Oryctolagus cuniculus: one gene and its partners. The protein of the gene in region 1 binds, or shares a complex with, the protein of each later gene. Links are inferred from orthologs where the notes say so. Each region holds a gene or a part of one and is shown in the gene's direction. Other genes may lie near its edges. The genes, in order: SNRPD2, GEMIN2, CWC22, SART1, STRAP, LSM4 and CRIPT.

What was found.
Region 2: SNRPD2 (region 1) and GEMIN2 share a complex: the UniProt entries of both Homo sapiens proteins name them as parts of the SMN-Sm complex. The link is inferred for Oryctolagus cuniculus from reciprocal best matches to the Homo sapiens genes SNRPD2 and GEMIN2.
Region 3: SNRPD2 (region 1) and CWC22 share a complex: the UniProt entries of both Homo sapiens proteins name them as parts of the minor spliceosome. The link is inferred for Oryctolagus cuniculus from reciprocal best matches to the Homo sapiens genes SNRPD2 and CWC22.
Region 4: SNRPD2 (region 1) and SART1 share a complex: the UniProt entries of both Homo sapiens proteins name them as parts of the U4/U6-U5 tri-snRNP complex. The link is inferred for Oryctolagus cuniculus from reciprocal best matches to the Homo sapiens genes SNRPD2 and SART1.
Region 5: SNRPD2 (region 1) and STRAP share a complex: the UniProt entries of both Homo sapiens proteins name them as parts of the SMN-Sm complex. The link is inferred for Oryctolagus cuniculus from reciprocal best matches to the Homo sapiens genes SNRPD2 and STRAP.
Region 6: SNRPD2 (region 1) and LSM4 share a complex: the UniProt entries of both Homo sapiens proteins name them as parts of the U4/U6-U5 tri-snRNP complex. The link is inferred for Oryctolagus cuniculus from reciprocal best matches to the Homo sapiens genes SNRPD2 and LSM4.
Region 7: SNRPD2 (region 1) and CRIPT share a complex: the UniProt entries of both Homo sapiens proteins name them as parts of the minor spliceosome. The link is inferred for Oryctolagus cuniculus from reciprocal best matches to the Homo sapiens genes SNRPD2 and CRIPT.

What each region holds. Positions count from the first base shown.
Region 1 is NC_091449.1:11,275,316-11,279,635, forward strand, and holds the start of SNRPD2 (small nuclear ribonucleoprotein Sm D2), read left to right. Parts: upstream 1-1,512; 5' UTR 1,513-1,660; coding exon 1,661-1,662; exon of another isoform or gene 1,663-1,898; intron 1,899-2,869; coding exon 2,870-3,049; intron 3,050-4,320. Other genes in the region: QPCTL (glutaminyl-peptide cyclotransferase-like protein), read right to left, coding at 208-351, 734-928. UniProt on the Homo sapiens protein: Plays a role in pre-mRNA splicing as a core component of the spliceosomal U1, U2, U4 and U5 small nuclear ribonucleoproteins (snRNPs), the building blocks of the spliceosome.
Region 2 is NC_091443.1:36,514,794-36,518,383, reverse strand, and holds part of GEMIN2 (gem-associated protein 2), read left to right. Parts: intron 1-2,035; coding exon 2,036-2,104; intron 2,105-3,208; coding exon 3,209-3,319; intron 3,320-3,590. UniProt on the Homo sapiens protein: The SMN complex catalyzes the assembly of small nuclear ribonucleoproteins (snRNPs), the building blocks of the spliceosome, and thereby plays an important role in the splicing of cellular pre-mRNAs.
Region 3 is NC_091434.1:61,056,255-61,060,285, forward strand, and holds the start of CWC22 (pre-mRNA-splicing factor CWC22 homolog), read left to right. Parts: upstream 1-1,153; 5' UTR 1,154-1,415; exon of another isoform or gene 1,416-4,031. UniProt on the Homo sapiens protein: Required for pre-mRNA splicing as component of the spliceosome. As a component of the minor spliceosome, involved in the splicing of U12-type introns in pre-mRNAs. Promotes exon-junction complex (EJC) assembly.
Region 4 is NC_091432.1:5,822,144-5,826,361, reverse strand, and holds the start of SART1 (U4/U6.U5 tri-snRNP-associated protein 1), read left to right. Parts: upstream 1-1,334; 5' UTR 1,335-1,400; coding exon 1,401-1,713; intron 1,714-2,890; coding exon 2,891-2,948; intron 2,949-4,218. Other genes in the region: TSGA10IP (testis-specific protein 10-interacting protein), read left to right, coding at 240-360. UniProt on the Homo sapiens protein: Plays a role in mRNA splicing as a component of the U4/U6-U5 tri-snRNP, one of the building blocks of the spliceosome. May also bind to DNA.
Region 5 is NC_091440.1:113,728,884-113,732,473, forward strand, and holds part of STRAP (serine-threonine kinase receptor-associated protein), read left to right. Parts: intron 1-13; coding exon 14-151; intron 152-2,941; coding exon 2,942-3,078; intron 3,079-3,590. UniProt on the Homo sapiens protein: The SMN complex catalyzes the assembly of small nuclear ribonucleoproteins (snRNPs), the building blocks of the spliceosome, and thereby plays an important role in the splicing of cellular pre-mRNAs.
Region 6 is NC_091447.1:65,595,502-65,599,758, reverse strand, and holds the start of LSM4 (U6 snRNA-associated Sm-like protein LSm4), read left to right. Parts: upstream 1-1,446; 5' UTR 1,447-1,599; coding exon 1,600-1,602; intron 1,603-3,958; exon of another isoform or gene 3,959-4,134; intron 4,135-4,257. UniProt on the Homo sapiens protein: Plays a role in pre-mRNA splicing as component of the U4/U6-U5 tri-snRNP complex that is involved in spliceosome assembly, and as component of the precatalytic spliceosome (spliceosome B complex).
Region 7 is NC_091433.1:156,146,808-156,150,905, reverse strand, and holds the start of CRIPT (cysteine-rich PDZ-binding protein), read left to right. Parts: upstream 1-1,247; 5' UTR 1,248-1,384; coding exon 1,385-1,400; intron 1,401-3,088; coding exon 3,089-3,154; intron 3,155-3,807; coding exon 3,808-3,862; intron 3,863-4,098. Other genes in the region: PIGF (phosphatidylinositol-glycan biosynthesis class F protein), read right to left, coding at 179-194. UniProt on the Homo sapiens protein: As a component of the minor spliceosome, involved in the splicing of U12-type introns in pre-mRNAs. Involved in the cytoskeletal anchoring of DLG4 in excitatory synapses.

The sequences.
Region 1 (4,320 bases):
CCTGCACATTGAAGATCTTACTGACCCCTCACGGGGCTGTTTGCTGCTTGGGAAACACCTGTGTGAGACTCGAGTCAGTGCCTGGCTCCTGCCCCTCCGCCGCTCCGGGACCCTTGGACAGGACCCCCGCTTCCCATGCCCCGCTGGGCTAGGTGTGTGTGGGGGTGGGGGCGGGTCAGCGCTGGGAGAGGAGACGGGGCCTCGTACCTTTCTGACTTGGAGACTGCCCGGAGTGCCCGGGGCTCGCACAACAAGCAGCGGTCGCAGGAAAGTGCCCCAGAGGCGCTGCAGGTCCAGCTGCCCCACCACCCTCCGCAGCCGGGCCTCCGGGAGACTTCCGGTCAGCGGCGTCTAAAGAAGAGAAGAATGAGCGCACTGCTCCCTCCCCCCAAAAGCCCGGGTGCCTCCGCGGCATGGGAGACTTCCAGGATCAAAGTCTCTCCAAGCCCACCCGGTTTAGCCTACCCCTCGATCGTGACATGGAAACCGAAGCCCAGCGAGGGGAAGGGAGGCTTCCAAGAGTTGCCTTTCGGGCGTGGAACCCAAAACCCTCATCCTGACGACTCCGGAGCCTTTCTTTCCAGGGGGCGCGTTGGGAGGGGGCTTGCGCTCCGGGGAGGCAGCCGGTGGCACCTGCGGCCAGGGCCCCAGGTAGCGCCACGTCAAACCGAAACTCGGAAAGAGGAAGCGGGGAGAGAGGGCCCTCCAGTGCCCGCGCCGCGCCCAGCCTCACCCGCGGCAGCTCCTCGGTCCTGCGGTGCCAGCTGCCCCACAGCGTGTAGAGGGCCGAGCCCACGGCCAGCGCCAGCAGCAGCACGGGCAGCAGCTGCGCCCGCGGGAGCAGGCGGCGCTTGAGCGGCGAGCTCGGCTCCATCAGGCCGCGCTCCCCGAGCCGGGGCCGGGGCCGCCCGCGGCCCCCGGGACGCATGGCAGCTTTGCCCTGAAACCGGCCAGGGACCGCGGATGGAGTTCAGGCCCAGCCAAGTCCCACCCCATGGAATCACAAAGCCAATGAGCGACAAGAGCGCCGGGCACCACCCCGGCCCGGCGAGCCGGGTGCAGCTCCCGAGGACAAGCCTCCCCGGAGGCCCGGGGTGTCGCGATTGGCTCCCAGAGGGGTTGCACAACCCCCAGAGGGGACGCGAAGGCGTGCGGCCCGCCCCGGCGGAGCGGGTAAAGCCAATGGGCAGCGCCCGGCCGCGGAAAGGGATTGGTTCCGCGGGACGGGAAGATCCAGCGAGGCGTCAGGCCCCGAAGCCGGGACCGGATTGGCTTCGTGGAGGCCGCGCCCCCGGAGACGGGGCTGGCGGGCATTTAGAAACCTCTGGCCGTTTCCCTCCTGCAGCCTGTCCCGCCTCTACCACGAAGCGGCGCGACTCGGACTCTCTGTCTTGGTCTCTCCATCCCGATGAACACCTGCCCGCTGTGGTCCTTAAAGGCCTCGAACTGCCGCTCGCGGCTTCGGCCCCCTCGCTGCGCAGCCGGCGGGGGTCGCTATGGCAACAAGCCACGCCCCAGCCCGCCGGGTGGGTTTGCGCAGGCGCCCACGGAAGTGGCCCGCCGGAAGCGGAAGTCCCGCCCCTCTCGCGCTCCATCCGCAGAGGCAGAAGCAACGCGGAGGAGGTTGGAGTGAGAGTGACCCGAACGCGGGGCCGGCACCATGTGAGGCCGGGCTGGGCTTAAGCGGCGGGCGTGAGGTTGTGGGTGCGAATGCGGCCGATTAGCGGCGGAAGGGGGCGGCAGCGCCGGGGGCGGAGCAGAGCTCTCGGGCGAATTTTCTGTAATGAGCGTGGGACCGGCCCCCGGGGCCTCTGGCGGACCCTGAGTCCGCGAGGGCCGCCAGCTCTGTGAGAGAACGGGCAGCGGCTCCTCCGCGTCATCAGCTCGCTGGAGTGAAGGTTAAGAAGCGGCTTCTCGAGTTACAGAAGCCGGGGAGCGGGCGCGGGCTTTTAGGCATAGCGATTGGGGGCGAGGGGCTTGGAACGTGAGCTGGGGCCGGGGGCCGTGGCTGCTCGGCCTGATTCGCAACGACGCCGCGGCTGGGGCTGCAGGCTCAGCCGGGGGCCCTGGGAGGGTTCCGAAGAGGCTGCCGTGAGTTAGGCTTGCGCACGGCCCCCAGGCTGCCCCTGGGTGCAGGTAGCCCTGGCACGGAGGTCGGATTCTGCAGCCGGCCGGGGGGAGGGGTACGGCCGGCAGACGCATTGATTCGGCCCTGCCGAGCGGGACTACGGCAGGCTGGTTTTTAAGCCGGCGCCCGAGTGCTGTTCTGAACACCGAGGCTGGCCAGCCCCGAGTGGCCGGGCAGGCCTTTCTCCTGTGACTGTTGCCCGGGCTCCACGGGGTCGCAGCACAGTCAGGTCCCGTTACGCTGTAACCTGGAGATGACTTAGCGAGCGGGAGGTGTGCGCAGGGTGTGTGTGTGTGCGTCCCCGCCATCCCACCTAAGGGATCCGAGCCGCTGAGGCTTCCGGGACCCGGGCAACGCGGATCCTGGGACCAGCCCCCTGTGGATGCCGAGGGACAAGCGTCCGATTGTGGGGCAGTGGGCGTCAGACGCCAGGGGGAGGAAGGTGGGGGCGCCGTAGAGCAAGTCCTGACAGTGGCTGCTGTCCGAGTTGCCGTGGGAGACGAAAGAGGAGTGGACGTCCGCTTCTGCCCGGCCAATGAGAAGGGCGGACTTACCCCCCAGGGAGTGGTGTGCCCTGGGTGCAGCAGGCTGGGGAGGGGGCCTAGCGGGAGCTGAGCCGGGGCGGGCGGGGTTGGGGATGGCTGGTGGCTTCCAGGTGCTGATGCCTAGAGACCAGGCCGGCAGGGCTGGGGGGCGGCCCCGGCTCCTCCCCTCACCCGCGGGTCCCTCCTCCCCCGTCAGGAGCCTCCTCAACAAGCCCAAGAGCGAGATGACCCCCGAGGAGCTGCAGAAGCGGGAGGAGGAGGAGTTCAACACGGGCCCGCTCTCCGTGCTCACGCAGTCGGTCAAGAACAACACGCAGGTGCTCATCAACTGCCGCAACAACAAGAAGCTGCTGGGCCGCGTGAAGGCCTTCGACAGGTGCGCGGCCGGGGGCGGGGCCTGGCCCGGGAGGGAGGGGCCTGCGGGCGGGGCTCCTCCGAGGCCGCGCCTCCCGCCCTGCCCTGCGGTGGGCGCCAGCCGGCCCCTGCTGTGCTGTCCCTCTGAGCGGCCAGGCGACCCTCAGCGCGTGCCGTTATCTTGTCCGCACAGTGGCAGGCAGTCGTCGCGGTGGATACAGAGATGCGGTGACTTAACACGCATGAAGTGCCTGGCCACAGGACACCTTTTGGTTCATTCATTGAAAGAGAAGCGGAGAGACGGAGAGAGCTCCCACCTGCTGGGCACTCCCCGGATGTCCACAGTGGGGCCAGAGCCGGGGGTAGCACGCAGGCAGGCTTTTAATATTTTATTTATTTTGAGAGGTAGAGTTATGGATAGAGACACAGAGAGGTCTTCCATCCGCTGGTTCACTGAGCTGAGCTGACCAGGAGCCAGGAGCTTCTCCTGGTCTACCACGTGGATGCAGGGGCCCAAGCACTTGGGCCATCTTTTGCTTTCCCAGGCCACAGCAGAGAGCTGGATCGAAGAGGAGCAGCCGGGCCTCGAACCGGCACCCTTGTGGGATGCTGGCGCTGCAGGCCAGGGCGTCAGCCCACCAACCACAGCGCCGCCCCCGTGTGTTCTGTGGTGTCTCACTCACGCACTCACCGTGCCCCTGGCCGTCCTTTGTGGTGCCCACAGCCTTGCAGAGGTGCCCCTGGCAGGGCTCGGTCCTGCAGGAGAACCTTCCAGGCGCTCTCCTGCCGCCCGGTTCTGCTGGTCCTGGCCTGAGAACACTGCGGCCAGCGGGCTGTTGCCTGCCCCCTCAGCCCCTCCCACCCGCGACTGAATGCGCAGTGTGTGCAGGTGGGGCGGGTTCATTCAAACAGGCACCTGATGACGGGCGATCTCCTTCCTGCGCCCTCCCTCCAGGGACCGCCCCCCTGGTGGTCACAGATCCGCAGGAGTGTGGTGTGACTGAAACATCACATGTGTTGGAAGATGGGGGCTTCTTAGCCTTTTTTTTTTTTTTTTTTTTTTTTTTGACAGGCAGAGTGGACAGTGAGAGAGAGAGACAGAGAGAAAGGTCTTCCTTTTGCCGTTGGTTCACCCTCCAATGGCCGCCGCGGTCGGCGCGCTGCTGATCCGATGCCAGGAGCCAGGTGCTTTTCCTGATCTCCCATGGGGTGCAGGGCCCAAGCACCTGGGCCATCCTCCACTGCACTCCCTGGCCACAGCAGAGAGCTGGCCTGGAAGAGGGGCAACCGGGA
Region 2 (3,590 bases), on another chromosome or scaffold:
ACAGGATGTTTTTTCAAGAGTTTGATAAATTCTACCTGTATAGCTGTAAAACAGGTCTTTCTAGATTTGTTTCTTCAGATTTGTACTTTGTTTTGAATTGAGAAATGGACTAAAGGTAAAGACTCTTTTTTTGAAGAGTTTGTCAAGTTTTTCAAATAGTTTTAAATTATATTAGTAGTTACAAACTAAATCCTAGTATTTTAATCAAGGCATTCATTGATATTTGAAAGTATAGGAATATTTGTCTTAGAAGCCTATTCCCACCCCAAATCCCCTTAAGCTGGATGGTAAAAATAGCATTTTAAGTGTTAAAGCATTCATATAAATAGGAGTAAGTGTCTGGATTACATTTCTGTAATAATAGAATTAAAAAGGAGTCAATGCTCCAACATGGGCATCAGTTCATAAAGCAGACTGATAGAATGACAATTGCTTTAAGTAGCACTCTGACCTCAGAATCAGCCCTTAAAGCATTCTGGTCTACCTGAAAAGCCCATGGAGATCATTTCAGGCATGGAAAGCCAAGACACTATGGCAAAAAATGTCCTACATGAAGGACTTCTGTGGGTGAAACTCCAGTAGAAGTGGTGGTCATCAAAGAAGGATGTACTTTTTTCTGCAGGGAGGAGAGAACTTCCACTTTGCTTATGGCCTTGTCTAAATTTTAACAAATTCTGACTTAATTAACTTTAAAGAAGCACCAAGAACGATACATCTTTTGTGAGCAATTAGACATACCTATAACTTATAAGACCTTGATTTATACAGTAAAAGAAAATAAGTCCATACAGTTCTGACGGAGTTTGTGAATTCAGAAGGCTTACATACCTTAGACAGCACTTGTCAAGAGCCTCAGGTGGTCACTGACATCATACATAAGAGTGTTAATTGTTAAATTAACAACAGGAGTCATTGTGCACTAACTTCCCATGCAAGACCTCTGTCCTCCAAAGAGTTGTGTTATCATAGTTAACAGTGAAACTTGTTCTCAAAGATTTATTTTGTTTTAGTGTATTAAGTGAATGATATTTTTAAGTCTCATAAGTTTTACATCTGCCTAAGTGTCCAACTCCTTTGCTTGTTTTCTTAGGTGCTTCCTTAACTAATGATAAAATTTGTTCTCAAGGACTTATTTTCTTTTATTAAGTGGAGGTCTTATGTCTCATAAGTTATAGTTATGTCTAATTGCTCCCAAAAGATGTATCATTCTTGAATGCTTCTTTAAACTTAATTTTCTCAAAAAAAAAAAAAAAGGTAAAATTAACTTCGAGATATAATGACCTTGAACAGCCCTTGTCTCAAGTGTTGAGAAACAGTTTTGTGTGTGTGTGTGCAAATTGTTGAACTCTTTACTTAGTATAGAGTTGATCTTCTGTGTATAAAGTTGATTGAAAATGCATCTTAGGGCCGGTGCTGTAGCTCAGTAGGCTAATCCTCCGCCTTGTGGCACTGGCACACCGGGTTCTAGTCCCGGTCGGGGCGCCGGATTCTGTCCCGGTTGCCCCTCTTCCAGGCCAGCTCTCTGTTGTGGCCCGGGAGTGCAGTGGAGGATGGCCCAAGTGCTTGGGCCCTGCACCCCATGGGAGACCAGGAGAAGCACCTGGCTCCTGGCTTCGGATCAGCACGGTGCGCCAGCTGCAGCGCGCTGGCCGTGGCGGCCATTGGAGGGTATGCATCTTAGTGGAGAATGGGACTGGGAATGGGAGAGGGAAGAAGAAGAGGGGTGGGAGTGTGGGTAGGAGGGAGGGCAGGTATGATGGGAAGAATTACTGTATTCCTAAATTTGTACTTAAGAAATTCTGAAGTTTGTATTCCTTAAATAAAAGGTTTCTTTGGTTTTTTTGGAAAAAAGAAAGCCTATTCCCAGAGGTGACTCTTATTAATGAGTCAGTTTTCTTTGGAAATCTAAAGAATGAGACAATCTTAAATGTTGCTTTCTAACTAAATTTAGTGAAACTCCTATTGAATTTGTCAGTATTTATTACTAATATTATAACTGTTCTGTGCCACTATCCCCCCCCCCCCTTCTTTTTAGGCAACAGTAACTAGTGTCTTGGAATATCTGAGTAATTGGTTTGGAGAAAGAGACTTTACTCCAGAATTGGTAGTGTTATCTTTTTATTTTCATAATTCAGTTTTATTTTCATAGGATACATGAGGTGTGACTGTATGGTATTTGTGTGTGTGTGTGTGTATACTCAAATGTGTTACTAGCCTTGTGCCACACCATGATGTTTTTGGGCAAGGAGGGCTTCATCTACAGTAGTGGTCCTCTAAGATTATATAGCCTGGTCTTAGTTTGTGTAAGTACTTGCTATGTGTATGCATAATGACATGATAGCCTGATAATGTATTTCTCAGAATGTGGCCCTGTCCTTAAGTGATACATGACAGTATACGTGTAATCTGAACTATGCTTGTTTGTGGTGCAATAAGGAACCTACACCAGGGTGTAAATCAACATACTGCTTCCTTCGTTGACAAAGTCTTCCTTTGGCAGGGAGGGGGAAGAGGACAAATGTCAACCAAAGAGTTAATTTATATCCTGGTACAAACTACTTATCTCAGTGCTGAGCAGTAACAGTGTGCTCACAGGCTGGCAACAAGTCTGCAAACCCCACTTCCAGTGGCACTGGTTAAAGTTTAGAATGCATTTTCTAAAATGACCTTGAAATCAGTCCACAAAAGGATCAGAAGTAACAACAACAGCAAGTACTACATGCTAGACATTATTCTAAGAACCTTACATATAATAATTCATTGGGCCCTCAACAATTTATTAACTGTTATTATCCACAATACTCAATTAACATAATACAGCTTGTAATTGGCAGAATTCAGACTCAAGTCAGGGCAGTCTGGCTCTATTTCTACACTGTTAGAACTATGCTACACTGTGTTTACTTTATTGCTTTATATTCACAACTCATTTTTTTTTGGCCTTAAAAGTTGGGTTAATTTGATGAATATTTTTAAATGAATTACCTGTTTGTTCTTTCTAATTTTAATAAATTTTATCATCTTTGAAAGATTTAGTTTTTAGAAACCAGCAGTGTTTCACAGCTAAAGATATTTGTGAAAGAGTGTATCTGAGGGTCTAAATGTAACACAGTAATGAGTTGTATGAATTTATTCATGGAAGATAACCAGGCACAGCTTAGAATATTTAAACTTGTGATTTAATAGTTTTTTTTTTAATCCTATTTAGGGAAGATGGCTTTATGCTTTATTGGCTTGTCTTGAAAAACCTTTATTACCTGAGGCTCACTCATTGATTCGGCAGCTTGCAAGAAGGTGCTCTGAAGTGAGGCTCTTAGTGGTAAGTTTCACCTCACTTTTCCAAATTGAAAGCATCCAGCAGTTTTTATAGTGGTGAAAAATTCCAATAGAAGGGAGACCTTTGGCATATTTTGTTAGTTGCAATTAGAATTGGCCACATAACAAGAAAGTGGAAAATACTAGCAACTTAAATAAAATGGCATTGTTGTCCTCAGATAAAGGAAGTAGGCAGACAAGATGTAATATAGCAGTAACCCAGGCCTTTGGGTTCTGCCACATGTGGCTTCCTCAGGTTCATCTCAGGATTCCAG
Region 3 (4,031 bases), on another chromosome or scaffold:
AAGTCCTCAACCTACAGACCTTTGGGGAACACACAAACTATCATCCAAACTGTAACAGTGGATAAGGCTAAGCAAAAGTCTTTGAACTTTCTCTCTTGGCCAAGAGAGCAATCAAAATCAGTGTCATATGTGAATAGTAGAGTTTAATGATACCCAGAATAGAAAAAAAAATTTTTTAAATGATATCCAGAAAAATGTCAAGGTTTTATGATAATGCCAACATAGCTCCAATTAATTTTGACGGTCTGATCTAAAGAAATCAACTGAATTAGGATAATTATTATAGACTATAGCAACTTCAACCAAGTATTAGCCCAATTGCAGTTGTATATCAAGCATTGCATCATTGATAAAACAGAATATAGGTGGGTACTGCTTTTACTCCTTACAAATCAGGAAATGGACACAGAATGTGAAGTAACTTACTCGAAGTCAATGATTCATGAATAAATCCATCGTTTAAGCATAAGTAGCCCAGCTCCATTTTGTTTTTTAATGCCTTTAATCTCTGCAACTAGGAAAGAGTTAGAAGCACAAATAACCTAAAATTGTAATGAAGTATTTGCAGAAACCAGTCCTGGTTTAAAAAAGCAAGAGAACTCCCCAAACAGTTAACAATTACTTGGACTTCTGGGTTTTGTGATTGCAAAAACGAAAGTTCAAGGAAATTGTTTGATTGAAGCCCTACCTCTGAACTCTGTATAAGACAGTTTCTAACTCAGCTGCGGAATCTCTTTATCTCGACAGTGTCTTGTCACCTGGTATCTTAGCCCAAAGAGAGACATCATCGTCTTCACAGAATTAGCTTCTCTCAGTCTATTAATGGGCTAATATTCTCTTGGAACTTAGTAGGCACTTAATCATTTAGTAACATTTTGCTTAATATGCTCTTGGTCAAACCAAAATGTCTGAGAGGATTTCTGTTTTTTAATATTTTCACGGAAACGTGACCACAGAGGACTACTTTTCTGCCAACCGCAGAGAAACAGTTTTGGATTATAATTAATCTTATCAAACCCTAATTACTCTCAGGTATTCTGTGAGCAGCCTGGAGGCAGTCGCAGATGCTTATATCCAAGAACTACAATTCCCATCGTCCACTGGGGCTTTCTCGCGCTAAAACTACAATTGCGGTTAGTCATTTCCGTCTGACGAGAGGGAGGATGCTGGTCTTTGTAGTTCGGGTCTACTTGCTTTTCGTTGCCGTGTTGGTAAGGAGACAGTATGATTAGATGCACTGCTTTCAATCTGGCGTTGTGATGTGGTGTTTAAGATAACCTAATAGGCAAAGCGCGTCAAACCCAAATGAGCGTCCGGTTTTTACGTACTTCACGCTCCGCCTTCCTCCTCTTGCCGGTGCCCGGGAAGGGGAAGTGACGTGCATCCGGTGTAATGGCGCCGCGGTGGAGCTCTAGGTAATTATCGAACTCGGTCGAGTCGTCCCGGGGAGGCAACTGCAGTGGGGGGTCGCGGGTTGTTGGACCGGGAGGGATAGTGAGGAGGTCTGTGGGCGGGGGGAGTATGCCGCCGGGTCCGGCTGTGGGCGGCCCCGGGAGCGCGTTGCCGTCCTCCCGCCACGCGCGGGCCCGCGAGGTTGGGCTAAGCGAGCGGGTTGGGCCGAGTCGCCCCGTCAGGTGGAGAGTGGGCAGCCGTGAGCTGGCTCTCCGCCTGCGCGGACGGACCTCAGGCTCATGAGGTTCCTGCGCCGTACCTTGGCCGTGTCTCAGTTGCTGGGTGACTGCATCCGAGCTGGTTCTTCCTCCCGCCGTGTGCAGTGTTTTGGGCGCGGGTCACTTCGAACCTCTCGAGTTAGGGGGCTTGCCCAGGCCCCTACCTAGTGCCCGGGTCCCAGGGACTCGGGAATAGGATTAATGAACTATAGTTCATTTAAGAGATAGCTAACTGACTTTAAAGCCTCTCGGCGGAGTACTATCCCTGTGACTCTCTTTGTAAAATTTCACTAGTGGTTTCTTTTTCATGTATTTGCCCTGCCATTTACTGATACTTACAGATGTTTAGTCCTGGGAACCCCTCCTTTTCCATTGTCTTCATCTATCATCTTTCGTCCTGCCGTTAGTTGAACCACTTCCAATAAGATTGACAACTCCTTAACTTGGTCCTCCGGTTCGTCACTCTCTGCTGAGCTCTGGAGTCCTACAATACACTTCAATGTAATGGTGATATGATAGTTAATTTTGCTTGGACTAACTGAAATAGCGTCTTTACCTGTATTTACTTAATCCTCCGTGCTTTGAGGGGAGTGAGAATGAGAAATTTGGGAAAAGGCTATTCTGGGTGTAGGAGTTGGGTGATTTAAATGTGATGAGTTTCCTTTGTGTTATGCGATATCAACAGACTAGAAATAGCAGATAAACGAACAAAGTTGGTCTTAAAAAAGATCAGTTAGCCTCCCTCTTCCCTATCTGCATTTAGATTTATTTAGGAACACAGGAGTTAACATCAGTTATCCTGTGGAAGGGCAGACTTAGGATTAGCGTTAAAAGTGCGGTTTTGGAAGCGTTGCTGCAGGCAGTTGTCTATAGGAGGAGGAAATGACTTGTGTGGGTGCTGGGTGATGGACTGGCAAGCCAGAGATTGCAGTCTTGCTTCAGTGATTATTAGATTTATCACTTGGGGCAAGTGTACTAACATCTTTAGTCTCAGAGTCCTTGTCTAAAGGTAATAATAGTTGTAATAATAACTGCCTGGCTCACTGGTTGAGTCTGAAGGCATTGCATGTCCGGCAGTGTGCTCCCGGGCTGGCCTCCGGTGTTTTAACATTGTTAATATATGATAGAGTTAATGAGTTTTCTCTGTTCCTTAGTGCTTGTTCTTTGCTTCTGAATGTTGCCACTTTTAAGTGCTCGTGTCACTTTTGTGGAATCTTTCCTAACTCATTGGAGTTCTGAGATTCTTTTACTGGTACTTTAGAGGCCAAAAAGCTTTTTCTATTACCCTGGCTTAGTGGTTCCTAAAATGTGGTTTTCCAAGTCGGCAGCACCGGTATCTCCTTGGAACTTGTTAGTCATGTAATAATTGTTGAATCAAAAACTGGGGCATGGGACCCATCTGTATGTTTTTTACCAGACCATAAAAAAGCTAATGCCTTAGAGATATGCTGTGGTTCCCCAAATCAGGTTGCCTGCCCTCTTTGTTCCAAATTATTTGATTCGTGGCCAACCAGTTTCCCATCATTATTATTTCACCACATCCTTCCCTGCTTTGGGTAGTTTGGCTTACTCACTTTTGCAATTCTGATGCTTCCTAGACTACTTAACTACTTTTATAAAACACCTTTCTTTGTTAGTTTTCTCATTTGCTGAATTGTTAGAGATTATCTCATAATTTTGCATTGCCAAATGACCTACAGTGGTTTGTATTTGACATCACTTCAACAAAGGAGACAGTGGCACTTTATGTGTCTGTAGTACCCTTTATGTGCCTATACTATGCCTTAACTTGAACGGTAGTTGCTATTTATTGCCATCTTGTATGTAGACTGAATTTTGCTCTACCTGGTTTATCCCTAACTTAGTCATGACTATCCTAGAGCTATTCTAAGTAAGAAAAAAGGGGCTATTGGTAATATATATATATATGATTCCACCTATGTTTTGGAGGGCTTCCTTGTTGAATTTCCCTTTCTGTTAAAGTCTGACAGTTCTGCCATTGGAGGGTAATGGGACAATAAGGCCTGCTGGTTTCCTACTGCAAGCATTTCTCAAGTGAACATTGAAAAGAGACATTTCGAGGCTTTCAACAAAGTACACTCTCAAAGCATTTTCTTTAAAAAGAGAACTTCAGGAGAAGAAGCAGTACATTAAAGCAGACCTTTGCTACTGTAGCCAGGCTAGCAAGACTTCCCAGTGAGCAGACACCAGAAAGGGACTATGGGCTGCTTAGGCCTGGGGACACATCAAGAGCTCCTGTAATTGAAGAATAGCTGGCTAAAGAGAGAGTGGGACTGTGGGCAGCTCATGTTTAACCTACCTTTGAGCCTAACTCATAAATGGGTCATACTAGACAGCACT
Region 4 (4,218 bases), on another chromosome or scaffold:
CAGGGCCTCGCCCAGGGACACAGCAGCAAACAGGAGGCCAAGGCAGGCTGGGCGGGGGCCGCGTGGGTCACCCCACGTACACGGTTCAGGGCAGGGACCGTGGGCCACTTCACAAGCCAGCGGGGACTTGAGGAGGGGCGGTCGTCCACCCAGGGCCGCACGGGAAGCCAGGACGGCTGCCGGGCTGGGACGCACGTGGGAGTGGGAGCTGTGCTCAGCGGCCGCTGTCTGTCTTTAAGGAGCCACAGGTCCGCGGAGACGAGCAGGCAGAGCCCAAGGATGGAGCCCCCCGGAGGCCAGCCTGACAGGCACCTGACCCCCAGCGTGGACCTGGCGAGCGGTCCCCGAGATAAAAATTAAAGGTTTTGTGGCAAACTCAGCGTGGGGGTCTGTGGTGGTGGTGGGGAAGCCGCCAGTGGGAAGGATTGGCTCTGTCCCCACAGCCCTGGCCCTGCTCCCCAGTGGACGTCTCGAAGAGCAATGGCCGTTTCTCTCTATTCCATCTCCCCCATATGTCCTGGGGCCAGTTCACGAGTGACCAGGGCACAACGGACGCGGCCTTTAAGGCTACTTCCCTGAGCAGCTCACAGCAGAGGTTCAAAAACAAGGCCAGCACCGGCACCCCGGGTTCTAGTCTCGGTCGGGGTGCCAGATTCTCTCCCGGTTGCTCCTCTTCCAGGCCAGCTCTCTGCTGTGGCCCGGGAGTGCAGTGGAGGATGGCCCAAGTGCTTGGGCCCTGCACCCGCATGGGAGACCAGGAGAAGCACCTGGCTCCTGGCTTTGGATCGGCGCAGCACGCTGGCCGTAGTGGCCATTTGAGGGGTGACCCAACAGAAGGAAGACCTTTCTCTCTGTCTCTCTCTCACTGTCTAACTCTGCCTGTCCAAAAAAAAAAAAAAAAAAAAAAAAAAAAAAAAAAAAATCCAGCTCAGCTCAGCTCAGGGACCCGTGCAAAGGCAGCGCTCGCTGCTTACAGCGCCCAGAGGCTGGGCTGCCCGATGGGGCCGAGATCCCCGGAGTCCACTGGAATGGACCACCTGCCCAGGGCCGGCCCTGAGGGGCTTCCAGCTCCGGGGCGCTGGCTTAGATGGCCTCTAGGTCCCTAACATTCTGCGATCCCGTCTCCTCCAAGCTAATCCTGCGCCCGTAAGGGGCGCGCGCAGCGGGAAAGCCAGCGAGCTGAGCGCCGCTCGGCCCAGGGCTGGCCGCCAGAGCCCCGTCGGGATCCGAGCCCGTCCCCGCCTTCCCATGAGCCTCCGGGGCAAGCGCCAACGCGCACGCCGGAAGCGGCCGCTCTTGGTTTCCGGCAACAGGACAGCGGCTGCCGTGCGACCCGGAAGTGTTCCCATTTTGCGTCGTCGGGGCTCGGCGGCTGCCCGGCTCCAGGCGGACGGACCACCATGGGGTCGTCAAAGAAGCACCGTGGGGAGAAGGAGGCCGCCGGGACGACGGCGGCGGCCAGCACTGGGGGCGCCGCCGAGCAGCCGCCGCGCCATCGGGAGCACAAGAAGCACAAACACCGGAGTGGAGGCGGCGGCAGCAGCGGCGGCGAACGACGGAAGCGGAGCCGGGAGCGCGGGAGCGAGCGCGGGAGCGGGCGGCGCGGGGCCGAGGCCGAGGCCCGTAGCAGTGCGCACGGGCGGGATCGCAGCCAGGCCGAGCCCTCGGAGCGGCGCGTGAAGCGGGAGAAGCGCGATGACGGCTACGAGGCCGGTGAGGGGCGGGGCGGGGCCCCGGGAGCCCGGCAGTGTCCGCGGTGCTGCCCGGGGCTCTGGGCTCAGCAGTGAGCAGAGCCCCCGACCGGCCATTCGGGCCTGGGCTCGGCTTTGTCCGCTCAGCCCCGTGAGCACGCAGGTTCTCGTTTTGCGGGGTTCCGTGTTGGGTGGACGGAAGCGTGCGGTCTCAGCAGGTGGCTCGCTGGCGCGCGGCGCGCGTGGGGTTCGTGGTGGAGACCCCAGGCAGTGAGGCATGAGGTCGTGGCCAGAGGTCGGCAGGAGGGCTGGCGGGGGAGGGAAGCTGCCCCTGCGAGGAGGGAGTACCGGGACCCGGTGGTTGGGGGAGGGTGACAGAGGCGGGCAGGGGGTGATGCCCTGGGCTCTGAGAGTGCGTGGGGGCACCGAGAGGGTCTAGGAAGCCCCGGAAGCCCCCTGCGAGGGTGTGGCCAGCGGCGGGGCCAGGGCTTGGGGAGTGCTGGGGTTTTAGTAGCGGGCCCAGGAAGATGCCACAGAGGAGATGAGTCGCCCAAGGGTCGGGGACACCCGGAAGGCTCGTGTCGGGGTGCGTGGGGCGAGAGTGTGCTAGGAGGAGGGGGTGACACGAGGCGGGGGCCGGGGTGCAGGAGGCAGCTGTGGGGTAGAGGGGGAGGGTGGGGGGTGCGGGGAGGGCCGGCTCACGGTGCCCAGCTCCCTCCTCTCCGGGGTTCACCTGGGGCTGGAGGAGGCCCCAAATGCTTTGCGCCTGAGCCCCACATGCAGCGCAGAACAGACACTGTTTGCTCCTGACCGCCTGGGTGGCACCCGGGACACGGCCGCGTTGCGGCACCACCCCCGCCCCGTGGGGGCGGCCAGACCCCGACATGACTGCCCGTGCCGCAGCGTCAGGGCTGGTTGGTCTTGCCCTCGGTTACGATGTGGCCGGGGCAGGGGCAGGGGCACAGGGGATAGAGAAGCAGAGAGGGCAGAGGGAGGGAGGGAGGCAGGACGTGGCCGTCTTGGGTGAGGAGGGGACGTAGGAGCAGAGCTCTGGGAGCCCGCCGGGCCGCTGCCTTCTGCCGGCTGATAGACCCTGGGGCACGTCCGAGCTAGCGGGGCCGGCTCCTTGGCCCGGCAGCCCCCGAGCCCCGCAGCCCCGCAGCCCCACAGCCCCTGAGCCCCGCCGCTTGTCGTTCCAGCTGCCGGCTCCAAAACCAGCTCCGGAGATGCCTCATCTCTCAGCATCGAGGAGACCAAGTGAGAGCCCTGCGTCTGCCGCAGCCCTGGGCGGGCAGGGGCTCCCCCCCAGGGTGGGCAGGGGCTCTCCCCCTGGGCGGGCAGGGGCTCTCTCCCAGGGCGGGCAGGGGCTCTCTCTCAGGGCGGGCAGGGGCTCTCCCAGGGTGGGCAGGGGCTCTCTCCCTGGGCGGGCAGGGGGCTCTCTCCCAGGGCGGGCAGGGGCTCCCCTAGGGCGGGCAGGGGCTCTCTCCCAGGGTGGGCAGGGGCTCGCTCTCAGGGCGGGCAGGGGCTCTCTCTGGGCAGGCAGGGGTGCCCCCGGGCGGGCAGGGGGCTCTCTCCCAGGGCGGGCAGGGGCTCTCCTCCTGGGTGGGCAGGGGCTCTCTCCCAGGGCGGGCAGGGGGCTCCCCCTGGGCAGGCAGGGGCTCTCCCAGGGCGGGCAGGGGCTCTCCCAGGGTGGGCAGGGGCTCTCTCCCAGGGCGGGCAGGGGGATCTCTCCCAGGGCGGGCAGGGGCTCTCCCAGGGCGGGCAGGGGCTCTCTCCCAGGGCGGGCAGGGGGCTCTCTCCCAGGGTGGGCAGGGGCTCTCTCCCAGGGTGGGCAGGGGCTCTCTCCCAGGGCGGGCAGGGGCTCTCTCCCAGGGCGGGCAGGGGCTCTCCCAGGGTGGGCAGGGGCTCTCTCCCTGGGCGGGCAGGGGGCTCTCTCCCAGGGCGGGCAGGGGCTCCCCTAGGGCGGGCAGGGGCTCTCTCCCAGGGCGGGCAGGGGCTCCCTCCCAGGGCGGGCAGGGGCTCTCTCTGGGCAGGCAGGGGTGCCCCTGGGCGGGCAGGGGGCTCTCTCCCAGGGTGGGCAGGGGCTCTCTCCCAGGGCGGGCAGGGGCTCCCCCAGGGTGGGCAGGGGCTCTCTCCCAGGGTGGGCAGGGGCTCTCTCCCAGGGCGGGCAGGGGCTCCCTCCCAGGGCGGGCAGGGGCTCTCTCCCAGGTCGGGCAGGGGCTCTCTCCCAGGGCGGGCAGGGGGCTCTCTCCCAGGGTGGGCAAGGGCTCTCCCCCCGGGCGGGCAGGGGCTCTCTCCCAGGGCGGGCAGGGGCTCCCCCAGGGTGGGCAAGGGCTCTCCCCCCGGGCGGGCAGGGGCTCTCTGCCCGAGCTGACTGCTGGGAGAGTGTGGGGTCACCCAAGGGCCAGAGGGAGGTGGCGCTCACTGGTTGGGGCAGCCAGGCCTAGGGTCCCCGTTCCCTTCCCAATGCCCTGGACGGCCTGGGTCAGGCCAAGTGGGACCCTCAGGCTCACGCGTGCCCCCTTTG
Region 5 (3,590 bases), on another chromosome or scaffold:
TTTCTTTTCGCAGCCTTTGGGATCATGCTACTATGACGGAAGTGAAATCTCTAAATTTTAATATGTCTGTTAGTAGTATGGAGTATATTCCTGAAGGAGAGATCTTGGTTATAACTTACGGACGATCTATTGCTTTTCATAGTGCAGTAAGGTAAGTCTAGGAAATTCCTCCATTTTCTGTTTTGGGTGATGGGGGCCATAATGTGTTTTTATGAGAATTTGGTATACTTTAATCAGAGGAGTTAATCAAATTCCAGGTGTTTAAGTCAATTATTGGTACAATTAAATGTTGAAATTGTTTTTCTTAAAAGAACCATTGGATTGATGTTTATAATTAATGTTTATTGTGTAAAACTGTGGTTATCTTGAATAGAGAAAAATAGTTTTTTTTTTTTTTTTCATATCCCCAAGTATATACAGACCTCTTTTTAAAAAAAACGGGGCCAGCATTGTGGCATAACAGGTTAAGCCATAGGTTAAGCCACTACCTGGAACACCGACATCCCATATGGACACCAATTCTATTCCCAGTTGCTCCAATTCAGTCCAGCTGCCTGCTGATGTGCCTGGAAAACCAGCAGAAGATGGCCCAAGTCCTCGGGCCCCTGTGTGGGAAATTTGGAGGCTCAACCCCAGCTGTTGTGGACATTTGGGGAGTAAACTAGAGGATGGAAGATTTCTCTCCCTCCCTCCCTCCCTCTCTCTAACTCTGTCTTTCAAATAAATAAAATAAATCTTTAAAAAAAAAAAAGACTTAAGTTTTGTGACTAGAAATACAATAAGTGCTCTTGTAAAAATTTTGGAAAATATGATATAATTAAGAATAATTGACTCAAAATCTTATAAGAAGATTCCAAACTACTAATGGCTGTATTTTCTGCCATTTTTTTTGTTTTATTTATGCTTGTGTGTTTTTAAATGAAGGCCGTAATGTAATTAGGCCTTGTTGTTTAAAAATATTCTAAGATATATCTTGGAAAACAGATTTGCTAGATACATTGCATTGTGAATTACAATAAATTACCAGTGCACTGTTTTAAGCCTGCAGTAACTGAGGTACTTATTTCTCAGTGTTTCCTTAGAATCTTATAAGTACTATTATCAGTTCCAAGGGTAGGAATGAGTCTAAAGTTCTTAGTTATATGTGTCACTTATAACTTGTTGATTTCCACAAGGATTATACAACATGAGACCAGCAATTCTGACATTTTGTCTACAGTGCCATTTGCAGTGCTAAGGTTCACTGAATGGAAGAGAAAAAGAAAGGATTAAAATTGGAGTAAAGCAATTCAGAATGTAAAGGAGGTACACACACACATGAATTGATGATAATAGAATGCTGTATCCCAGCCACATCAAACTGTACAACCATATTGTTCTCTTTTGGAGCGGTACAACATGCAGTCCTACTGGAGAATGTTGCTCCAAGTTCCATTTTAGTGGCAGAGATTTGCTGACCTATGGAATAACTTTCTTTTTTTAAAAAAATTATTTTCATATACTTTAAGGCACAGCAAGAGTGAGAAAGTGACAATGGGGTTGGTAGGGGAGGAAAGGGAGATCTATCTTCCTTCTATCTGCTGATTCACTCCCCAAATACCCACAATAACCAAACTTGGGCTAGGCTGAAACCGGGAGTCCAGTATTCCATCTGGGTCTCCAGCAAGGGTAGCAGGGGCCCAGGCACTTAAGCTATCACCTGCTGCCTCCTAGGATGCAGTGGCAGGAAGCTGGATTGGAAATGGGGATTCCAGGACTGGAAATGGCACTCAGAAATGAAATAAGGGAAGGTAACCTAATCTGTGGCTTAACCTACTGCTCCACAACAACCACCCCCTATTGAACAGTTGAGCCAACAAGTGACCCTGAGTAAGTCATGGCTACTTGAATTTTCATGCTTTATATTATGAGGTGATGGGAACAGAGGAGTGACTTTAAGGGCCTGAATGGTATGTTGTGTATTTGAGGCCTTTCATCATTTTCAGGGTTGAACTGAAAAAGAGCCAGTCTCCAAACTAATTGATTCTTCAGCTAAAGCTGTTACTATGCATTGATTTTTTTCATATGTAACTGTGGCCTCAAATTTTAGTCATTCTTTTACTACATGATAATAACAACAGCTGTTTTTCACAGGTTCATATTTATAGCATTTTCTTGTTGCAAAAGCTTAAACCCTCACAATTGAGAATAACATACCTATAATCCTTTATGTTAGAGTAATTCATTACCTACTGTAAAACCTTTATCTGTTTACAAAAGCAATGTGTGCCTGTTGAAGAAAAATCAAAACAATACAGAATATAATTTTTTAAAGCAAAAATCCCAATATTTTCCATGCAGTTTTAATTAGCAGAGAAACTCATTTCCAGGATGGTATCTGCTGCTCAAGATGTGGGTATCCCTCTTGAAATGTCTTTATATTCCTGAGATGAATTCCAGGTGGGCACAGGATCCTTAGGCACCTTTTTTGCTAATAACATTATCAAGTCTTGTTTTTTGGTTTGTTTTTTCTTGTTTTGTTTTTGAAAGGCAGAGGAGGAGTGGTAAAGTATAAAATGACAAAGAGATTTTCCAGCGACTGGCTCATTCCCCAAATGGCTATAGCAACCAGTTCTGGGCCAGGCTGAAGTCAAGAGCCAGGAACTCGATCCGGGTCACTGCCCGTAGGAGCCTGAGTACTTGGAAGATCTTCTGATGCCTTCTTGGGTGTGTTTGCAGGAAGCTGAAGCAGAGCAGCTGGAACTCAACCTGTTAAGCTGTTGCAAGCAATAGCCTGAACCATTTGCCACAATGCCAACCCTTATTTAGTATTTTTTTTAAACATCATTGTTTGTGTTTGAATATTTAATTGGTCCTTGTGTCAGAATTTAGGAACAGTTTAACTAAAATCATTTACATTATTTACTCAGAATTTGTAAATATTATTTAAATTTTTTTCCAGTTTGGACCCAATTAAATCCTTTGAAGCTCCTGCAACCATCAATTCTGCATCTCTTCATCCTGAGAAAGAATTTCTTGTTGCAGGTGGTGAAGATTTTAAACTTTATAAGTATGATTATAATAGTGGGGAAGAGTTAGGTAAGTTATCCTCCCTTTTTCCTTTTATCAAATGCTGAGTTCCAAAAATTAATGTTTCATTTATGTATATACCATGTTGGAAGCATATTTTTCATCCAACTAAACCTTGATGTTTAGAAGTGAGAAGTATTTATCCATTTTAGATAGGAACTTTTATAGATCTATAAGCAAAATATGCTGAATTTAATGTTGTCTTTTTCTTTTAGCTGAAATTCATCCTTATCATGTTCTGTAATATTGTGTAGTGATTTTCAGGCTTTATGGGGAGGGGAGAATCTTATGTCAAACTTATGTATTAAATAGACACAGGGAAATTTATTTTTTCCAAAGTATGGTGTGCGTGGCCCAGTGAGCTGGCCACCATTCCTTTTTGCTAAGTTCAGAATCCCTAAGATTCTGTACAGAGAATAGTGGAGAAGGGCACTATAGCATCTTACAGGGATGCCTTTAAGAATCTAACTTGGAGAGTTTTATTCTTTTTTTGGCAGCTGAGTTTTGCTACCATTTTCATG
Region 6 (4,257 bases), on another chromosome or scaffold:
AAGCCCACACCCGCCGGTTCCGCCGTCGGGAGAAGCCCGGGGCTGGATCCCGCGTGGGGCGGGTCCCAAAGGCAGCAGGTGGACCTGCAAGACCCGGATGGAGCCTGGCCCGGACCTACCGCCAGCTCCCTGCGCATGCGCACCCTGGGCGGCCGCAGGTGGACCTGCGAGACCCAGCGTGAGCCTGGCCCGGACCGGCCGTCTGGGGAGGAACCAGCGGGCAGAAGCTCTCCCCCCAACCCCCCTCCGTCATTTGACAGGCAGAGCCCCTACCCGCCGCCTCCCAGGTGCCTTGGCGGCATCAGAGCAGAGCCGGGGCTCGAACCAGGGGACTCGAACCAGCGTCGAACCAGCTTACGCCGGCCGGGCCTCTGCCGCAGCAGACCCTGGGTTTCAGCGCCCCAGGCCCCCGCGTAGGAGGGGCCGGGCCTGTGCGCTCCCGCTCCCGGCGCCCGGAGACTCCAGAGAGGGGCAGGCTCTGCCCTGGGCGGGGCCGCGGGGCCTGCGGGGGAGGGGGCTTGAAAGCTAAGGTTATCTGGGGGCAAAAATAAAAAAGCAGAATCCACAAACTCTCTCCTGTGTGCTTTCTCTTCACACCTTTTATTCTTTAAAAACTTTATTTTTGTTTATTTGCAAGACACAGGGACGGGGGAGAATCTTCCACTAGGTGAGGTCAAAGCCAGGAGCTGGGAACTCCTTCCGGGTCGCCGGGGGCCCAAGCAGTGAGCCACGGCTGCTGCTGGCCAGCGTCCGCGTGCGCAGTCCAGCAGGGCCGGGGCTTGAACCCGGGTGCTGAGATGTGGATGGAACCGGGACTTGAACCCAGGGCGCTCGGATATGGCCTGGGCCGGGGCCGGGTTTCGAACCCGGGTGCTCAGATGTGGCCAGGGCCGGGACTCGAACCCGGGCCCTTGGATGTGGCAGGGGCCGGGGCTCGAACCCGGGCCCTTGGATGTGGCAGGGGCCGGGGCTCGAACCCGGGCCCTGGGATGTGGCCGGGGCCGGGACTCGAACCCAGTAAACTAGGATCTGGTCCGCGGGCGTCCTCAAATCCGGGCCACACGCTCACCTGGGGAACCGATCTCTCGAGTCCGCAAACACCTGACGTCACATTGACGTCACCTGCTAGTTCGGGGACTGCGCTGCGCCAGCATCGCTAAGGGCCGCCGGTTCGAGTCCCGGCCGCCCCACTTCCAACCAAGCACAAGAACGAGACCGAGACGCAAACCCGGCGCCATCACGGCCCGGCCCACACCGCGGAGCCCGGGCGACAGGACCGGCTCCTCTCTGCGCATGCGCAGCTACCCACAATGCAGCCGGCGCGCGCTGCTCCGCCCCCTTTTGCATCACTCGCCACGGCACTTTACGGCTCCGTCGCGGATTCTTCTGGCGGGAAGTTAGTCCCACCCCCTCGTGCTTCGAAGACCCGCCCTTCTGTCCGGGGATTGGTTATGCGTCCCCGTCGCCCCGCGGTGACTGGCTCCCGCTCCTGCCACTCCTTTTCAGGCTTGTGGCGCGCGGCGGGGCGGCGACCGGCGGCAGCGTGATCGGCGGCGGCGGCGGCGGAAGTGGCCGGGGAGCCCGGTCCCCGCCGACACCATGGTGAGGGCCGGGCGCCGTCGGGGTCTGACCGGGAGGCGGGGTGCGGCTGGGGGTGGGCACGCGGCCGTCGGCGGCCTTCGGGTTGGGCCGTGGGGGTCGGGGCGGTGCGCTCCGGACGTGCGGGCGCAGCGTCCAGTCCCGCCCCCAGCCCCGAGCCGGGGAAACTGACCCGAGACGGCAGGTGCCTCGCCCGGGGCACCAGTACGTTGTTCTCCGAGGTTCACGGCTGGGCCGCCGTTAATCAAGGCTCAGCAGGTCAGCTGCGCGCTGTCCACTTTCCAGACGGGGAAACTGAGGCCGGAGGGGGCGGGGACCCCGCCGTCGGGCACTGTGGCTCGTGGGTGCCGCTGGGGGCTTCCGGCCCAGGGCAGGGTCCCCAAAGCGGGGCCGTGCGTTTCTCAGAGCCGGGGCCCGGTGGCCGGCGCCCGCTGCACGCCTGACGGCGGGGCTGGCCACCACGGCTGGCGGGCACTGCCCCTGGGAGTCCCCAGCTTCCGCCTGCTGCCGAGTTTCCTGGCCCAGGGGTGCAGGAGTCCTGTGGTCAGGGCGGGGCCTGGGGTGGGGGCGCCCACGGAGGGTCGCCCCGAGTTAGGAGCCCTTGGGTGTCGTCTTTGTCTTTGGTTTTTACGCACTGGAAAGAGAGGGAAAGGCAGGTGCAGAAAAGCCCCAGACGGCTCGGGGCTGGGGCAGAGCCAGGCCAGGAGCTGCACCCGGGTCTCCCACGCAGGTGCCGGCCCCCCCAGGCGCTCCGTCCGGGTCTCCCACGCAGGTGCACGGCCCCAAGGAGCTCCGTCCGCGTCTCCCACGCAGGTGCAGGGCCCCAAGGAGCTCCATCCGGGTCTCCCGCGCAGGTGCAGGGCCCCAAGGAGCTCCGTCCGGGTCTCCCACGCAGGTGCAGGGGCCCGAGCGCTTGGGCCATCTTCCACTGTTTTCCCAGGCGCGTTAGCGGCGAGCTGGGCGGGAAGTGGAGCAGCCGGGACTCGGGATGGGCGCGGGTGTCCCTAGCCGGTCTGCGGGGAAGCGAAGCGCCCTGGGCTGCGCCTGCCCCTCCGCGCGGGCGCTCCTAGTTCCTCCCCTTGGACCTGTGGCTCCCGCTCCTCCCTTTCCTTGGCGGCCGCCGGGCCCGGGGTGGTGCTGCCTTAACCTCCTGCAAATATTTACCCTGGCCCCCGCGCCCGCGCGCCCTCCCGCGGGGGCAGCCTCCACGCCCACTGCGGGTTTTCCAGTCTAGCCGGGGAGACAGGTAATAAACACACGCGATAATTAGACGCCGGCTGCAGCCTATAATGAAATAAACAGCCGCGCGCCCCAGGGTGCCCATTAGCTGGGCCTGGCCCAGGGAGGTGACAGGGGGCGGAGGGAGGCGGCCCCGGGGCTGTGGCTGCCACCTGCCGGGGTCACGGGCCGGGGCGAGCGCCCAGGTGCCTGTGGCGGGGAGAGAAGCCCCACCCCCAGCCAGCGTGAGGCCCTGTGTCCCTGCGCCCCAGCGTGGCTGGCGACACACGGCATCCAGATGACAAGCAGGGGCCGCCCCGCCCCCACCGCCGCCCCCTCTCCACGTGGCCCCTTCTTCCTCCTGAGCCCGGCCTCCAGGAAGCCGGGGCAGGAAGTGGGCTTGGGCCTGGCTTCCTGCTGCCCCCGGCCTCCCCTCCCCCAGGGGCGCTGCTGGGGAGGGCCCGCGGCGGGGGGGGGGTCTCCTCCTAGCTCACGCAGGAGGCTGGGGGGCGCAGGCCATCGCCCACTGGCGGAGCCGCCTTGCGTGGGGCGGGGGTTCCTGCCGGTTGGAGCAGACTCAGGTCCTCTGACGCCCGCGCGGCCCCTGGCAGACCCGGAGGGGGTCCCTCCTGGACAGGTCACGCCCACCCCACCCTGGCCCGGTGACCGGAGCACTGGGTCATCTTCAGCTGTGCCCCGCGCAGGAGCTGCGTCAGAGCCGGGGCTCAGCTCCACAGCGCCCCCAGCTGTCCGCCCGCCGGCTCCCCTGGGGCGGGGGGCTGCCCTGGGACGGACGCGGTCCCTGCGCTTCCGCACACAGGCCAGGGCCCCAGACCATGGCAGGGGGTGGCCCAGGAGCCCCCCGCAGGCGCAGCATCCCGGGAGCACCGGCTCCCTGCGGAGGGCCTGGGAGGCAGCGGGGAGGGGAGGGCCCCGCGCTGGGCCCCCGCCCCCACCGCCCACGCGGGAGACCCGGATGGAGGCCCTGGCTTCGGCCCGGCCTTTAGTTGTTTGAAAGGCAGAGATACGGGCGCCCTGCAGGCCCCAGGCTCCTCCGTGAACTTTCTGAATGCGGTCATATCTGCACCTCAGCTGGGCTCATCCAGCCAGGCGCGTGATTTATTTACTTTATGGGAGGGAGAGAGGTCCCACGTGCGCAGTCACTCCCCAGAGCCCGGAGCGCCATCCCGGGGCTCCCAGCCAGGGCGCGCATGCGCGGGGAGCTGAGCGGGCCCTACCCGGGGGCCCCCAGCCTGGGACGCAGCCGCCCTGACCAGGACGCCCAGCGCACACCCCTGTAAATCCGCGCGGTTATTGGTAAAAATGAGCAGAGCGGGCCTTGCGTAGACCTGAAGTCTTGGCGCGGCCTATGGGCCCTGCGTGGAGCCGTCCCCGCTCGGCCCGGGCCTGCGTGTGTTCTGGAATGTTCTCTCTGCACAG
Region 7 (4,098 bases), on another chromosome or scaffold:
AATATTCAAGTGGCAGCCTAGGCAACCAAAGAACTCAAAGAGCATTACCCTAAACTAAGGGATCCCTAGACTCTAGCATTTCCAAAATGACTAGGTCTGTTACAGGTGCTAGATTCCAATCAAGAATAAAACATGAATGGAGGCAGAAAAAATTTTACTGTCTCATGTATTTAGTTACCTGAGAGCTTATGCATTGTATTGGCAGTGTGGAGTACAGACTTTATTAAATAGTCAACGTGTTACACTGTGAATATTCCACCAAACAGAAACAGCCCTAAAAAATACATAAAAGCATATGTGGGTGGGGAGAGGATGGAGCTCACTGGCGAATAGCTCTTATTTGATTCCCGCGGTCATTTATCAAAGGCAAGTAGTTTACTGATTAAACAAGAAAAACAAGTCAGGAGACTTGTTCCAAGCTCCCCAGCGCTACAGACATAAAGGGACACACGAGGGATCCGGTAGAGAACGGGCGACAAGCAGGGACAAAGTTTCTCAGACTCTCAGCTGCCTGCGGGTCGGGTAGGGGGAACAGAAATCCATTCTCTCAACAGATCCCCCTTACTTTCTCTGGGCCACCCTCGGAATCCCAGCAGCAGAAGCCACACTCCAGCGCCTGCTCAAAGAACGAAGGAACCCGGGCAGGTGAAGCGCCTGCCCTTCTCGGCGGGCCCACGAGGACACCTGCCGGGCGCGCCTTCGCGGGGCCACCGCCACGGCGCCGGCGATCTCGGCCCGCCCACGCCGGCCAGCAGGGCGCCGGCGAGCCCTCCCGGGGCAGCCGCCGCCCGGGTCGCGGACTTCATCCGCAGCCCCACCCCACACCGGGTCACTGGGGCTCGGCCCGTCAGCCGGCGAAAGCTGAGGGACGCGGGCAGGAACGCGCCTGAGAAAGAGGAGCGGTCCAGCAGGGGAGCCCCTGGGTCACGCGGAAGGAGGCCCTCCGAGGGCCGGCGGGGGCGCGCAAGCTCGCGACCACTCGGGCAGTTGGCGGAGGCGCCTTCCACACCTCCCAGAGGAGAACGCAGCCAACGGGGCTTACCTAACTCTCCCGCCCGCGAAGGGAAAGGGAACTACTGCCTCCCACCATCAAGGCACAACGGGCTGCCCCAGCCCACGCGCAGGCGCAAGCGCGCGGGGCGGAGACCCACGGTCGCACAGCCAATCGCAGAAGGGGATGGGCGGACAAACGAGGCAGCCCCGCCTACCCGCTGGCGTTCATGCCTCCCGCGGCTTTCCAGGCGTAGGATTGGCGGGAGCGGAGGATTAGGGGCCGGAAGTAGATTGACGTAGCCCGGAAGGAAAATTCTTCCCAGGCTGTAGTGTTGATGTTTTCAAGCTGCGGCTGATTCTGGGGCGAGGAGGGCGAATCGTCGGCGGAAAGATGGTGTGCGAAAAATGTGAGTTAAGGGGCCGCTTGTGTGGGGAGAGGAGGCTGGGAGAACTTACTCGGACTCTCCTGGGAACTTGGTTTTTCCTTTTCCCACAGGTCTCTAAGTCTAGCCTGTGTTCTCCCACCCTTGCCCTGTGACCCTTCCTGCCCCTCATCGACTGTGTAATCCCGTATATTTTGTCATCAGAATGGCCTTAGTTCTGCACCTTTTTGCCCATTGCCGTCGCCGCCTTCTGGCTCTCGCCTCATCAGTTACGGCTTCTCGACCGCCTCCGTCAGGCTTAAAATGGACCTTAAAAGTCATTTCTGTAGCGTGTGGAGTTGCGAGATCTAGCAATTCCAGACCTCCAATTGAATTTTAATTTAAGATAAACAACGAATACTTTTTTTTAGTGCTGTAAGTATGCCCCATTCGGTTATTTAGGACGTGCCTTACTAAATTGGCTTCGTTGCTTATTCTGAATGCATCCCATCCTATGAAAGAAACAGTATCTGGGTGGGGGAGGCTGGAGACCCCCACGACCTACGAAGAAGTCTCTGCAAGGAGGCATTGCTGGCTTGAGGAAAGTATTTTCCTCTGTGGTTGCCACCCAGTGTTTTTAATTCAAACTCTTAAGATTTGTAGAAAATACACCCTGTGGACCTACCAAGCTGTTTATGTGTTTAAAAGCAGCTGTCAAGTTCCCAAATCCTCTCCCTCTGGCTCTTCTGTGACAAGAGTTCCACTCCTCTTAATCCTGATTATGGTCTAATGAACATGACCTGTGGGCATCCCCGTGGTAGATGGATACAGTCTGGACACACAGACCCATGGCAAAGCTGCGTGGTGTTCCCAGATTTCCCATCTGAAAATGAGAACGCAACATAAGCCTTGGGTTTTTTTGAGAATTACATGAAATGACATAGGTAATGCCTGGTACAAAGGTCCCTAGTGTGTCCTCTGTCATAACTCACTACTGCGTGACACAGAATTAAACTCTGCTCCATATGTGGGCCAGAGTGCAACTAATGCCTCCCTCCTTCTGGATACTACACCACATACCATTGTTGCCTTACATTAAGCTTTAAGAAAATAACCATTAAGACGTAATTCACATGCCATGCAATTCATGCACTTTAAGTGTACAATTCACTGGTTTTCAGTATATTCAGAGTTGTGCAGTGTGATCATAGGCTGACCTGTCCATCCCTTCAGAAAGTGCATGATCTTACTTGACACTGACTGTCTGTAACTCTGCTTCATCTTGTACTTGCAGTGGTTTTTGGACTTGTGTGTGTATTTGAGTAAGTTTGAATTAAATATCTTTATATTATGTGCTGGCCCAAATGTCTCATCTCTTAGGTGTGGTTCTTAAATCTCTAACTTTGGCCTCCCATGTAATTTGTGTTAGTCTGTCACTTGGGATGCTTGTATCCCAGATTAGAGTGTCTGGGTTTTGCATCCTTGGATGTGAGTCCCAGTTCCACTCCCAACCAGTGAATGGGAAACCACCTGCCTCCCCAACCTGCATTTCAAACAAATAAAATAAAATTTTTTTAAAAAAAATCTTGAATCTCAGTTCACTAGCCTCTACCCCAGCATTAACAGGCTCCCACTGTAATATGACTGTTGATGGCATTGGGAGCCTTGGCACCATGTGGTGTATTTATTAACTAGCAAGTTATAATGCCCCTTTTACTATTTTATCACAACAGGTGAAAAGAAACTTGGCACTGTTATCACTCCGGATACATGGAAGGATGGTGCAAGAAATACCACAGGTATTTTTTTTCTTTTGGAAAACAGAAATTGAATTAAATACCACCTGTGAATAATATATTTTTACATTTATTTGTAAAGTGAGATGTTGTATTCTCAGAGTATCTTGTCTATAAAGAATATACGGGGTCCCCCAGTGATTTAATGCCTTCTCTCTAGTTCTCCCAGTTACATGCACAGGTTCCTAACATAGTAAGCAGGAGATAGCAAACCTACTAAATATTTTCAAGTGATGAGTGTGTCATAGTGTAGAGTCCGAATTTAATTTCTCCTCTCCTCACCTAGTTTTTATCTTCTTTATAAAAAAAAAATTACTTAAGCTGTTTTCACCAGGAAGGAAACGAAAGTTGAACTGGACTCAGAGTCTGTGACACCAAAGTAGTAACTTCTAGATTTTATAGTGGATGGAGTAAATGTAGACTCACCCCTAAAGTACTGCTTGCTGTCTGAGTAAGAAAACTGCATCTCACATAAACGTCATTGTTTCCCTAATATTTTCTAAGTAGCATCTCAAAAACTTAGCTATTTCACGAGAATTTAAAAATTTTGATATAGGCTATTCTAATGGTGGGAGGTCAAAGGATGAACTTCTAACTGAATTAGTAGGTGTGATGTTAAGTATGTAGAAATAACTTACTGAAATATTTTGATACAGAAAGTGGTGGAAGAAAGCTGAATGAAAATAAAGCTTTGACTTCAAAAAAAGCAAGGTGGGTAAGAGCCTCTGTGGAGCCGTCGTGTAAGTTCCCACTCCTGAGACTAAGCATGCGGGAGTGAATTTACTGTTCATCATTGCATTGTGCTCAAAGCATGAGAGGTCCTGGCAGAGGGAGCCAGGGATCTGGTGTAACCTGCTGGTTAGCACTGTTCCTTCTCACTGTGTCAGCCTCTGGAGATACCAGTGCCACGGTCTCTATAATTGGACCAGAAGACATGAACTAGCAGA